Drosophila melanogaster: one gene and its partner. The protein of the gene in region 1 purifies or fractionates together with the protein of each later gene. This does not show direct contact. Each region holds a gene or a part of one and is shown on either strand. Other genes may lie near its edges. The genes, in order: yuri and Tm1.

Region 1 (8,231 bases):
TCTGTTCCTGCTGCTGGTTAACTTCGGTCTGTTGACTGGCGGGAAGAGAGAACATGGCAGCTGCTCTTATATGGATGCACTCTATCCTGGAAAATTACCTACTTTAGGCGGATCTGCATTTGCTGGCAATTTTCCGAAATGGTGCGCAACTCCTCCCGCAGAGATTCAGTTGTCTCGTTCATCCGCTGGATACTTTCGCGATGCCGGATGTCATCCAGCTGCAGATGGCTCTGCATTTTCCGAACAAGAGTGCGCATCTTTTCCATCTCCAACTGGGCACTCTTTTGTTGATCTTGAAGTGCCCGCTCTCGGCCCGAGGACACAGCCTCCTTCTCCTTCAAAGCGACCACCTCCTCTCGCAAGATTTTGCGCTGAAATTCATAATACCTCAGTTTTCTTTGTGCCCAAGGACGACAATAGTCGGATACGCCACCTCTGTTCTCAGCTCATCCTGCAGCTGCTCCACCTGATCCAGTCGCGTTTGCAGGCTCTGCGCTTTCCTCTTGGCGTCCTTGAGCTCCTGGCACTGATCCTCGAAGCTGGCCATCAGGCTTTCGTACTTCGTGCAGAGTTCCACGCTTTGATTTTCTTGGTTTTTCAGCAGGGAAGGGAGGTCTCGCAGTTGGCGGGATAGATCACCTGATAGTATACATATATATATATATATATATAGAAAGAGCTTTTAATTGAAAATTATAAGTTTTCTCTCACAATTCTTCTGTTTGAGGACATGCATCTCTTCTTTGAGCCGATTGTTCTCGCTGAAATCGGAGTAGCTATTGATCATGGACTGCAGCTGGCTAATCTGGTTATCTCGATCCTTTAGATTTTCCTGCAGTCCCTTGATTTGGCAGGAAAGTTGTCCGTTCTGGTGGGGAAAAAAGTGGGCGAGAAATCAGAGAAACGATTAGGAGCAATTTGGTAAATGTGTGCTTTAGTGGATCCAACTTGTATCTCCAGTTCACAGTTGATCCGTGACTGATCGACGAAATGGAGCTCGGGCTCTGGGCAGGATTGGCTGGCTAGTGAGCTCTGCTGCAGCTGCTGCTGCTGCTGCTCCACCTGTTCGGTCAGCTCCTCGAGATCCCTTTTGAACTCATCGATGATGCTGAGGTAATTATCCCGGGTGGCCTGCAGTAGATCCGACTCGGTCTGGCAGTGGAGCAGCGTGTGCTCCAACTGCTGGCGGTGGGGGCAATCGGTGGAGCTGTTGCCTGTGTTCTACAAATTCAAATTGAGTTGTGGCTCACTTGGTTGGTACCGCTATTCTCGAGGCTTACCATGGCCACTCGGAAATCGGTAACTAATTGCCTGCAAATCCGCGCACGAAATCACCTGTCAGTTGTCAATTGTCGATTGCAGATACGCGGATGTACATATCTATGTGTTTAAATCGTTTTCGGTGTCGAATGCCTAGAAATGGAGCCTTCGTGCCGCCGAGCTTGCAAATATATCTCGCAAATATGACCCCCAGACGAATTTTGGCTTCATTACCGTTTCATTTCATTTCAATAATATTGCTATTAAAAGTTTGTCACGAAAATAAAACCAATTCGAAACGTAGGAGGTGGCAAGGTTTCGGGTTTCCGGTTTCAAAGTTTCGCTTCTTTGGCACTTTGGCAACACACAAGTTTGTTGGGTGCTTGAAGGGGTGGGGGGTGAAGGATGGTTGAGTGGGGGGGGGGGGGGTGACTTCCCCTAGTTTTATAGATATTATTATTTGCGCGGCCCGACTGTTTGACACGATTTGAAAATAAAGTTAGTTGCAGCGGGTGGCAGCGAATAGTATTATATCGTCTGTCTATTTCTTGGATACGATAGATATATGGATATTTATGAATGATGAGTGGAGGGGAGTTGGGCGAGCGTGGCTCGGCGCACTTAAAACACTTTTAAAGGCATATTATATTGCAGTGGGTGGGGCGGGGGGTTAGTACTACGAAATTGATAGCTCAGGCTCGGGGAAATGTGAAAATCGATTGGGACGGGGGCAATGAATTCTTATGATTCCTTGTCTGTCATTAAACCCATTAGCGGAGCCCAACAATTCGCTTTTCCATCGGCTCCATTTGCACATTTACGGTTCGCAGCACCAACTTTCTTCACTGCACTTCGCGTCCCTCTTTGCGAAAGCACTCGAAAACAATTTGCACTTTTGGCCAACTTTCTCCTTTCTAATTGCCCGATTTTCCTTTCGTTTTTCGCGCCGAAAAGATAATCAAATCGACGGAGCGCGACTTAGGCGACTAATTACGCCTCGTAAATTGGCTGGCGAGGATTTGGCGCGTTATTCCTGGCGCTTCCTTGATTCGCTTCACGCGACTAAACGGCCAAATCCGCCGACGGATGACAGGATTCTGAAGCGAACTGCTCCCCTGCTGGGGCTTCCTGCCGAGTTGTGTTTGATTTTGCGCCCGACAGTTTCGCCAAAGAGATGATGGCGTGAGGGGTGACGACTTTGTTTATTGTTCACACCTCGGGAATTAGTCATATCTAAATAAACATTTATTTAGGTAATTACTAAATATTTGTATTTGCACTGAGCTCAATTTAAGTTGGTTCGGTATTATGAATTACTTAGTGCATACGATCGAGATCGATGTAAATGGTCGTGGTCCTTGCAGTCACGCGGATCACGAGCAGTCCTAGTCAGTGAAGTCCCAATCCCGGCGGCACTCATCAATATGCATATCACTGCTCGCCGGAATCGCGTGTCGATTGTGGGTAAATAAATAACACGAAACCTATTTCCGATTCGCCAGCTCCACTGGCTGGAGGGCAGAAGGTGCTCCCCCCTCAGGGGCAATTGCAGTTGAACATACAGCCGAGTTTCCACAATAAACACATTGGCGAACGATTTGTATTTGTCGTATGTAGACATTTGCCCGGCGGGATGAGTGAAGTGGATCTCTTTCTTTTGTGTCTGGGCCCAATATATATATATTCATATATATATATATATGGGTAAATAAATCGGGGACTCGAATGGCAACAGTAGTTCTTTTGTCAATCCAGCCAGGATTTACCGAGTATATACTGTACCGAGTATATATGTGAAGGCGAATGTCGTTTACCACATAAGAAGAAAGTTCTATGTGCTGAAACGTAAATCGGAAATGTATTTCAAGCTCATAATTTGGTTGGGATATGAAAGAAACTTTATTTAAAACTAGTTCATTTCATTAAAACTATTCATTTCAGCAATCTGTGATTCTAGTTTCTGTTTAACCATATATAGATAGATATAGATTTGAGTGGAGTTGAGTTTTCGTGGCGAACAATCGCGATGATAAATAACTTAAGAACGACAAACTTTAAGCTAAACTATACAAACTTCTTAACGTGGCTTAGATTAGACTAACTGTTTAGGAGGCCCAACAAGTGACATAGTTACTTGGAGGTCCTAAACGTTGTAGTTGTGTTTTTCGTTGGTATAGTTTTAGTTGTCGTTGGCTTGTTTGAAGGTTTAGGTGTTGGTTGTTGTTTGTTTGTTTTTGCCGTGGCTCCCGGGATTTTGGTGGTTTTGGTTGGCTTCCTTGTTTGGGAAGGTGTTTTCGTATCGCATTCCTGCATTTGATATGACAACCGGGGTTATTGGAATCGGCTATTGGTTATTTGCGATGCAATCAAAGCCGTCAGATACTCACAATTTCCACTTGATTTTGCTCCTGCTCGAATTTCCGTGCAAACATATCCGCAATGGTCGTACAAAATGGATTTTCTTTCGAGGATTCGTCGTAGATTTCGTTGTAGGAGAACTCCTTGGAACCCTGAAATGATGCACATATTTTTAATATGCATTTCCTGCAATCCTGCAGAATAGAGAAGAGTCTTAACTCACCAACGAGCAGATGAGTTCGGCGATCTCCCTTAGAACATCGCTATTTCTTTGAAGAACGCTGCTTTCCGATTCAATCCTCGCCTCCAGCTCTGAAATTTTGACTTTTTGCAAATAGGGAAATAGTTATAGCAAAAGTATCGAGAATCGGATATACCCACTTTTCGACTCGGTGTCCAGGCGCTGGTACTTTCCGTGCAGTTCTCGATTAAGTTGGCTAAGGTTGAGCAGGCGTCTACGTAGAGCTTCCAGCATCTGAGCATCCGCGTCCAGATCACAGGGCCCTGATTCGGGATCAACGGAGATTAGGCAGGATTGATCGAGGTCTGACTGAAGGATTGTCAGATGACTACGAATGCTCTCGAGTTTTTTCAGAGTGTCCTCACGCTCGGATACCTTTGATTAAGAAGGGTGTAATTAATGAGGATATGCTAAAGCTCAGAAATATGTAAGTCGAATCCCTCACCAGTTTTTCGATAAAGCAGGACACACGTTTTCGCCGAATCTCAATGGTCTGGAACTCCTGTTTGTTGTGCAGATCGAGAAGATCATTGAGCTCCGCGTTTAGCAGCCGCAGCATTTCGCTCTCCTGGGTGTCGTGGATCGAGAGATTCTCGAGCATATCGCTTGTAATCGCGTCCGCGGTCAGTGTATCGTTGGGCGATTCCTCCATTTTGGCCTGATCTCTGGACTCAATGCACCGGGTGATCTCGTGCAGCTGTTTTCACGGTATTTGGAATGTTAAAAAAAAGCTAGTTAGAAAGTTTCGATGTGCTTTTTGATTGAATACACTGAAAATTTTACCAAGAAATTCGGTATTTCACTAAAAAGATACTCGATTAGGTTTTCGATTGTACGCTTAAGCAGCCGATTAAGCGATAAGAAAAGTATTCCAATGAATCTATAATTAAACTGAGCTCAATAATGAGTAACGTCACCTGACGACGATGATGTTTTTGTTTTTTGTTTTTAAAACAACGAATTGAATAAATTCCTTCCATAAGCACACAATGCACATATGCAGATTTCTGGTTGAGTAATGCCACAATAGGATATCTCACCTGTTGATTGAGCTGTGCTATGCACTGATCCTTCAAAAGTAACTTCTGCCTGGCCGTGTGTACAACCTCGTCCAAGGCATTGATCTGTGACTTCAGTTCGCCGATCTCGTCATGCTTGGCGGCTATCTCGCCGACTAAGGACTTCATGCTCTCGGACATCTGCGAACAAAGTTAAACGCCAATCAAAGCCAAGCATTAAATATCGATGAACAAAATATCAAATTTTATTAAGAGCAGCACAAAATATACGTATTTAGTTAGCGAGACAATCATTTAGAGTTCTCGCGCTTGTGGGACGACTTCGGGTCCCACTTGACATTGGAATCACCGCCGCCTTTTCCCTTCAAGGATCTATGGCCTACCTTCTCGCTCTCGCATTCCGCGTGGGCGGGATCCTTTCCCACGCCCCGCAATTGATTAACGGTCAGTGTCTCTAGGGAAATGCCATTGAAATCAAAGTCGGTGCAGTGAGGAGAATGCTGCACGCGTTCTATGATCGCACAAATGTCCTCACGCAGCCTACGATTCTCCTCGAGGGTATGCTGTTGTCGCACTTGGACAGACTGACAGCAGGCAACGATCTTGCTGTACGCCTCCTTCTCCAAGTCCGACACGTTGCCCAGGATCACGCTGTTCACGTGGAGCAGGAAATCCACCCACTCCTGAAAAGTGACCAGACGCAACTGGCAAGTGTGCTAAAAGGGTATGAAAATGGGTCATATAAAATAATTTATCTCAAGGGGGATTTTGCTAGGAATTAGTTTCAATGGATACCATCCTTGATTTACAACGAATCTCACCATGTCATCACCCTCGTGCTCATCTAGGCAGTCAATCTCGTCCAGCCGCTTCAGAAATATGCTGTTCAGCTCAAAGCTCATATCGCCAGCATCGCCGTTGGTATCCCGCAGCTTCTGGATCAGACAGCGGTAATGTTCGGTGGACATCGCCTCGGTGCTGGCAGTGCACCGATCAGGAGATGAGGCTTTTAGCGTCGATTCTTGATGTGGATGCGAGGCACTCGTTCCGGTTGGCTGCACTTGCCGACACATTTGACTGGCAGATGATGGTGGTGGCGGTGGCGATGATGCAGGTCTCGACGGATTCAGACCCATGGACTTGGCGTCTAGGACGAAACCGGCTTGGCGACTGGCCATGATATCAATTCAAAATGTAATTACCACGTTCTTCTTACTAAGAGCTGATTTAGTCGGCCAGGGAATAGCTTGTGTAATTAGACATGAGTATGACTTTAAGGTTTCTACATCGAAACGTTCACTTCGAAAGCGGCAATCTCAAGGCACTGCTGATCGGAAAGATCGAATGCAGTTCTCCTCGCCTTCAACTGCACGCAAATCGCAAATCACAAATCACTCACGAAAGTACAAAAATCACAACAAAAAACACTTGTAAAGTTGTAAGCTTATTAAAAACAACACAAAAATGGGCGGAAAAAAAAATAAAAAATAGAGAAAATATATCTGATTCGAACCTTGGCGGCGACGTCAAGAGCAGCTCAGCGCGCTGCGTTCATATCTTTTGTTTGCAGTCTTCTGACGTAGCAATGTAGTTTTGTTTATTTATATTTTTCTTGTTTTTGAGCTACACACACGCGTATTAAGTATACGGTTTCAGCATGTTGTTGTTTTTATTTCTTGCCACGATCCAAATACCGCGCGTTTCGTCTGCGCTCCGTTCGCGATCGCCAACGAAACCGAACTGAGCGCTCCGCTCCACACACTCGCTCCCCACCACCACCGGCCAAGAGCGGCTCTCTAGAGAGTTGAAAAACTCGACGGACTCTCAGCGCTTATCAGTGCGTCGGGGAATCGAATTGGATCGCTGCGTGTGTTTACCCAAGAACTTAGCATTCTGAATTTCTGGCCGGGCTCACGATATACATATGTATGTATGTATCTTACACAATATGCGAAAGTCATCGCTGTTTGCCCAAGTTGCGGTTTCGGGGTTCTGCCAATTTCGTATAATTGTTAACTCATCCGGTGTATATTTGCCCATGGATAAGTTTGTTTGGTCGCATTGATAACTCCGATATGGTCGTTCAACGCGGTTACACAATAGCTGGAAAAAAGCTGCAAAAACCATGAATTTTAAAGATTAAGAACTAAAAAATTTCGAATGATTCAGAGAATGATTATGCCAATCCTTAAGTCTTATTGCCCATCCCAAATTTTACACGATTAGCACAATATGTTGGGCACCAATTGAAAACAGTAGATTTTTTGCAGATTTAAATTGTTACCAAGTTCGTTTTATTGTACAGGCGAATAAAAGCATTTCATTGAAAATATTTTAAAATCCTTTTAAAAGATAGACAACAACTGTGTTAACGCTCATTATACGTTTTATTTATATCGATTTCTCTTTTATGTAAGAACAAAATTTATTTACAGTGTTTAGATCGCGTTTGCTTGCTTCCGTTTTCGTGCTTTCGGTTCGGCGTTAAATTGTTTTTCAAAATCAATTCTATGTGTGTCCTACTTAACTCAAATCCATTACAGAAGTGTTGCCTACATATGCCTGGAATCGATTCCCACATATCAACTAATAGATAAAACAACTTTTTCGTACAGATTATCATAATCACTTCACGTTGCTTTGGGCGTACACAAAAAATGAAGATAGAGGAATATGAATAGTCATTGCAATCCTTACGTTCTGTTCACACGCATCTCAAAACGTGGGATGAATGTTTTTATTTGGATTGAAACAGACGACGTATAAATGTACATCAAACGCTCTCTAAAATTCATAATTCATTTATAAATTTATTACTTTAGCTATATTTATAGTTATTAATATTTTCTTGCTTATATTTCTGTTGTTGCTTCTTTACCTTTTTACTCAGCTGCTTACAATTAGGGGCTGCATTATGCATTATTTCTCTTATCTTGCTTTGCGTACGATTCTTGTGGGTGGATGTGGTGTGTGTGGTTGTGGCTCTGAATGGGGTGGTGGTGGAGCAGGTGTGTATGTGGTTGTTTGGGCTTACTGCTATACACTTGTTATGCGCAAAGAAATGACCATAAACAGTAATTAGAGAATATCAAGAAATATATTAGAGGGATAATAATTATGGTGGTGCCTTATCCAATAGCATTTTTAACTGTTGAATTTTGAATGTCAGGCTTACAAAATGGGTTGCGAAACGAAATTTTACGATTCGGGGCGCACTAATTGATATATTTATGTATTCGGGTTATTGGCTGGCGGTCATCTATAATCGTGGTCAGTATCCGCCATATCAATGCCGCTCGTATGCTCAGGCCATTCCGTCCGAGCTGCAGATTGTGTTTTTCAGTTAGTGTGCA
Region 2 (4,958 bases), on another chromosome or scaffold:
CCATGATTTCGTTTTCGTATTTAGCAAGTTGCTCAGACTGTTTTGCTATTTTACAATGTTTTTCGACGTTTTCTCAAGGGTCTTTTCCATGTCTATGTCTTCTTTGTTTTTTTTTTTCTTTGTCTTTATAAATATATTGATCTAGTTTTCTTGCTTCGAAAACTTTTTGTTTTTAATGAATACAATTACGTCATTTTGTGGGTGTTGTTTGAGTTAATTTTAAAATTTTCATCAACCTCGGACTGGCAAATGTTCTCCAAGATAAGAGAACAACAAAAAATGGAATAAGTAAATACATATATGTATATATGTTGGGGCTATCAAATTGGCTTATATTTATAGGTTTATATTTAAAGACTTTAGTTGCATTCGAACATATAAGATCTCCAACAATTTTGTTGGCGATAAGATTAAAAGGGCGTGATCAACGAGTAAGCAAGCAATCTAGAAGGGCAAATATGCATATCACCAGATCGGAAACTCAACGATTATGGGGAAACTGAATTTCAACCGTTTTCACGTTTGCAATTTAAAAAAGCATGAATCATGGATGCATTTTCTTGCGAGACAGTTACAAAAAAACGTATACTTTCATATGTGACATTTATGATTGCCAGCAAAATGTTTTCCGTTCGCAGACATGACGTTGAAAAATCTATAGAAAGAGCTTTAATATATAGAGCAGAAAATAATAATCTGTAGACCTATGGGGGAAATACGTACGTATAACTACGTGAAACAAGATTTTTTGGCATATCAATAACTGAAAATTAAAAATAGAAGTTGAGAACATCAAAAAGCAAAACAAAACGATCCCCAAACCAATACACTCTCATCGGGAAAAGAGACACGATTGCCTAAGTATTGGATATATTTTGCAATGGGCAAAAACACTGGGTGAAAAGAGCTTTTCAAAATACGGGGAAATATTCAAAAATAGGCTGAAAGAAAGGCATTCGATTCGAAATGAGTGAGCATTACCCATACATGTGCAGCGAACAGGTGAAAGCACCAAGGAAAGGATCGGAAAAGAGAGGCAGAGAGAAAGCGGAGAGAGAGCGCAGGCGCCGGGCTTGAATGTGTGTGTATAAATTGTAACTGTATTTGAAATTCTGATCTTATGCTTTCCGTTACACTGGCAGAAATCGGATAGGAACATAAATTAAATATATTACGGGCTGAGGGGTAAAGAAATGTTGTACAGCTTTCTTAACTGGCATAGCCCATTTCACTTTGGAGTATTTTCTGAATGAAAAAAACATTTAATATAATTTATAAATGAATTTCAAAATTCAAATTTGTAATAACAAAAGTAGCATGAGTAAATGATGATAAATGATAAGTGCGACATAAATTTATAAATACATTAAATCAAAAGTGCATATTAAATGTCCTGATATTAGAAAGCATGCATGATTACATTAAATATGAGTATATAAATAAGAACAAATGCACCCCTTTGTTGATTTCGCGCAGTGTATAAGCTATTGTACCCCGGCCGAGCAATTTACCGATGCTCTTGGGGTAAATTGAGAGCCAAGTGCAGTTCCAAAGTAGGCGCAGACAGCAACAACATATGCTCGCTTTTGGCCGAAAAGTGCGCACTCTCGCACACAGATACTCACGCACACAGGCGCACTAGCGCGGCGGCTCACACGCACACACACCAGCGCAAGCCGCTCGAAATCGACCAAGCGGCGAGCATCGAACGTCAACATATTGAATAAATATTTTCAGTTGAACATCACAATCCGTTCAAGTCGCGGATAACTCCGAATAAAAGTTTTGTAAGTAAAAAGGAATACGTTATCGTTGATCAGTAAAAAATTATACAAAAAAAAATACAAAGATATCGCTGAATATTTCCACAAAAATACTTGTCGAGTGCTTCAAAAATAATTTTAACTGTGCTAGAATTCGATTCTTATTTAAAAAAAAGGATCGAACCAAAAAGTATAATTACATAACCACAACGTTGCTGCAATATCTAACTTAAAATCCACCAAAGTGCTGTGCAATTCTCAACCCTAATCATCCGCAAGTATTGAAAAAAATTGAAAATTTTCCCAGTTAGAATCGAAATAAACCCAAATAGAGGTTAAGCACCTTTGCAGATCGCGAAAAAAAAACTAAGAATAACGATTCTGGGGACCTTGTCAAGTTTGTCTGCTAACCGCAAGTTGCTATATAGGGTTTCAGCTAAACGTATTTCATGAGATATATAAACATGGTCAGTGGGAACTTCGAACGATCTTAGATTTTAGCGGCAGAAGTAAAGAATTAAGGCAAAAGGAGGATTATCGAGCTCTCTTTCCTCCTTTCAGAAACTAAAATTGTCATGTTGTATATGAGAAAGTAAGGGAATCATTCTTAAGATAAAGATCAATGAGATAGACTTCAAGATAGCTATCCTTGCTATGGAATGGTTTCCTGAATTATAATTTTCTTTAATCCAAAATGTTTAGGAATTCATTGAGCCTATTTTCCAAGTAACTGGGCAACACGCGCATTTACTTTGCAGTTTTGTATCTTTGAAATCTGATCCACGACCGCTGGCCCTAGCTGCCAAATGAATCTGAAGCGAACGTAGGCGAAATGCGCCAAGAATTTCCCAGAAAGCTCCCTTCCTCTCAGCTTAGTATTAAGTAATATCCGTGGAGAGGCTAGATATTCAACAGATGCCTCGGCTGTCCTATTTTTAGATACAATCCGTGTGTGCTACAGATACTAAACAGTGAAATAGAGAGCAGGAAAGCTGCTAGAGTATCGCCCAAGGCATTTGGCTAAAGAATCTATATGCATTAGACCCATTTGAACCAACGTGTGTATATATCGTACTCTAAGAATAGAAAATTCTGTATTCTGTATGATTAAATTCCGAATTTTCCATGCGATAATTTGTAAATTTTGTGTGGAAAGGTAGATCTTATAAGGTCGGATACAGATGGAAAATATCTGTAACTTGTAAACTAGGCAGAAAAGTAGGAATTGCGAGGTGCCAGTTCATAAGGATGGCTTGTTAGTTGGCCATAGTTAGTTAGATATAAAAAATGAGTTATACATATACGCATTTTGTTTCCTGAAATATTAACTTTGTTCCTAATGATAACGTCATTTCTTGATAAGGATGATCTTAATACTCATAAACCTCTTTGGTGTAGGCCCATTTTTCGATTATATATATGTCATTGCCGAAAGTTATAAGATGTCATGGGAATTTTGTGCTGAATCAACGCAAACATAACTCAATGTGTCACCTTAATCGACTTATGGCCCATACACATGCAGATTTATATATATATATATATGTATATCTGTGTGTTTTTTAAGCGAACAAAAAATTTGCCTCGATTGCGTTTTCATTAAAATTCAACGTTTTTTTTTTTTGGCTTTGGCTTTATTCGATTGGCGCTTTTTTCTCCAATGCCACTTCTCTTCGGCGGATCAGGCACAGGAATGTAAACAGAGTTTTTAAAAATAAATGCATGTTTAAGGCAGAACCACACAACAAATGACAGCGATGAGCCGTAATAAAGAATTAAAATTTCACGCGGCGAAATTCGAGTCAATTAGCCGCCGGCTGCACTCGGTTCGAGCCATGACAAATGTTGGTCAAGTGGGTTTCGTGTTGGCCAGGAAAGGCAAAGGGGGTGTCAATGGGCACCAAGGAGGGGCCAAAAAACCCACCAGCTGCGTTCACATTGAGTCAGAAGTCTGGAGCTGCTCGAGAAAAGGGGCAATAGCCCAGTGCAGCTGAGTGATTCATCTTGGGTTTTTAATTCGAGGATGGTAGCTACAGCATCTGCACTTTACTGATAAGAATGCAATTCCAAGATAAAGCGCACATTTGTAAATATAAATTGATTTGAGTAAACATATATGGCACCTAAGAGTATGCAATGATATATGTTAGTTAAAAAAATATATTAAATGAGCTTACTATCATTTCAAATCCTCATTCTACTTTCGAAGATTTAGAAGACTTTATCTATGCAGCAATTTCTTGGCCCAGATTGGAATCTACTGACACAATTTTGGCTGGTGACAGAACTCTCTATTCGAGAATGTACCCAGTTCGTCCAGCTTCGTTTGGCTCCACACCACGCGATCCGATGTGATCTGCATAAATAAACACCCTGCTTTCGGTGTTTCGAAGTATATCCCAGAAAATAAGGTTCAATTTTAGGTATTCTCGTTTAAATGATTTACTGTGACGAGATGAGAAAACACTCTCAAAGTTCAGAACATCAGCGAAAGAATCGGACAATAAAAGTCGTGAAGAGACGCCGTCGAAATATTAAATTCTCAATTTATCAGTTGGCTAAGCTCGAACAATGCGACTGACTGGCATCGAAAAGGGGGCCTTGGTTGTTTCGGTTTTGGCCAGGCCGAATAATTTATTGACTCTGCCACCTTTCGTCCAAAAATGGCTATCCATTATTGCAAAAAACTCGCTGTGTAGCTTGAAATGGAAGAAAGATCTGCCAGTTATTTTGATAACATGCAGATAAGATGGGAGCTTTAAAGTTATGAATTTAAATACATATATGTGCAGAAATCAGATTGCAGGATCCTCATGTAAATACACAAGTTATAAAATTGCTAAATTAATCATAAAATGCAAATGCATTTTCCATATAGTTTCACTTTCGCACAAGCCATGTTTGGACTTGAATACTACTCCCCTTGCACTTGCTGATTATCGCATAAATCTGCTAATTGCTTTATTGGCTTGCACTTAACCATGGTTTTAGCCGCAATCTCATCTCCATCTCCATCTTCGTTTCCAATTGCAGTTTCTTTCGAGTGCAGAGTAGCAAAACAAAACAGACATGGATGCCATCAAGAAGAAGATGCAAGCGATGAAAGTCGACAAGGACGGAGCTCTGGAGCGCGCTCTCGTCTGCGAGCAGGAGGCACGCGATGCTAACACCCGCGCCGAGAAGGTGAGTCAACCA

The links.
Region 2: the proteins of yuri (region 1) and Tm1 purify together in Drosophila melanogaster (affinity purification with western blotting, with the first as the bait; one study listed by BioGRID). This does not show direct contact.

What each region holds. Positions count from the first base shown.
Region 1 is NT_033779.5:15,258,071-15,266,301, forward strand, and holds the start of yuri (yuri gagarin), read right to left. Parts: upstream 6,158-8,231; 5' UTR 6,057-6,157; coding exon 5,700-6,056; intron 5,595-5,699; coding exon 5,262-5,594; coding exon of another isoform or gene 5,169-5,261; exon of another isoform or gene 5,097-5,168; intron 5,059-5,096; coding exon 4,900-5,058; intron 4,733-4,899; exon of another isoform or gene 4,557-4,732; coding exon 4,305-4,556; intron 4,235-4,304; coding exon 4,000-4,234; intron 3,943-3,999; coding exon 3,842-3,942; intron 3,771-3,841; coding exon 3,648-3,770; intron 3,568-3,647; coding exon of another isoform or gene 3,391-3,567; exon of another isoform or gene 3,139-3,390; intron 1,674-3,138; exon of another isoform or gene 1,284-1,673; coding exon of another isoform or gene 1,281-1,283; intron 1,222-1,280; coding exon of another isoform or gene 949-1,221; intron 869-948; coding exon 712-868; intron 640-711; coding exon 434-639; intron 372-433; coding exon 103-371; intron 36-102; coding exon 1-35.
Region 2 is NT_033777.3:15,279,817-15,284,774, forward strand, and holds the start of Tm1 (tropomyosin 1), read left to right. Parts: upstream 1-1,733; 5' UTR 1,734-1,787; exon of another isoform or gene 1,788-2,041; intron 2,042-4,796; 5' UTR 4,797-4,832; coding exon 4,833-4,946; intron 4,947-4,958. UniProt on the Drosophila melanogaster protein: Tropomyosin, in association with the troponin complex, plays a central role in the calcium dependent regulation of muscle contraction.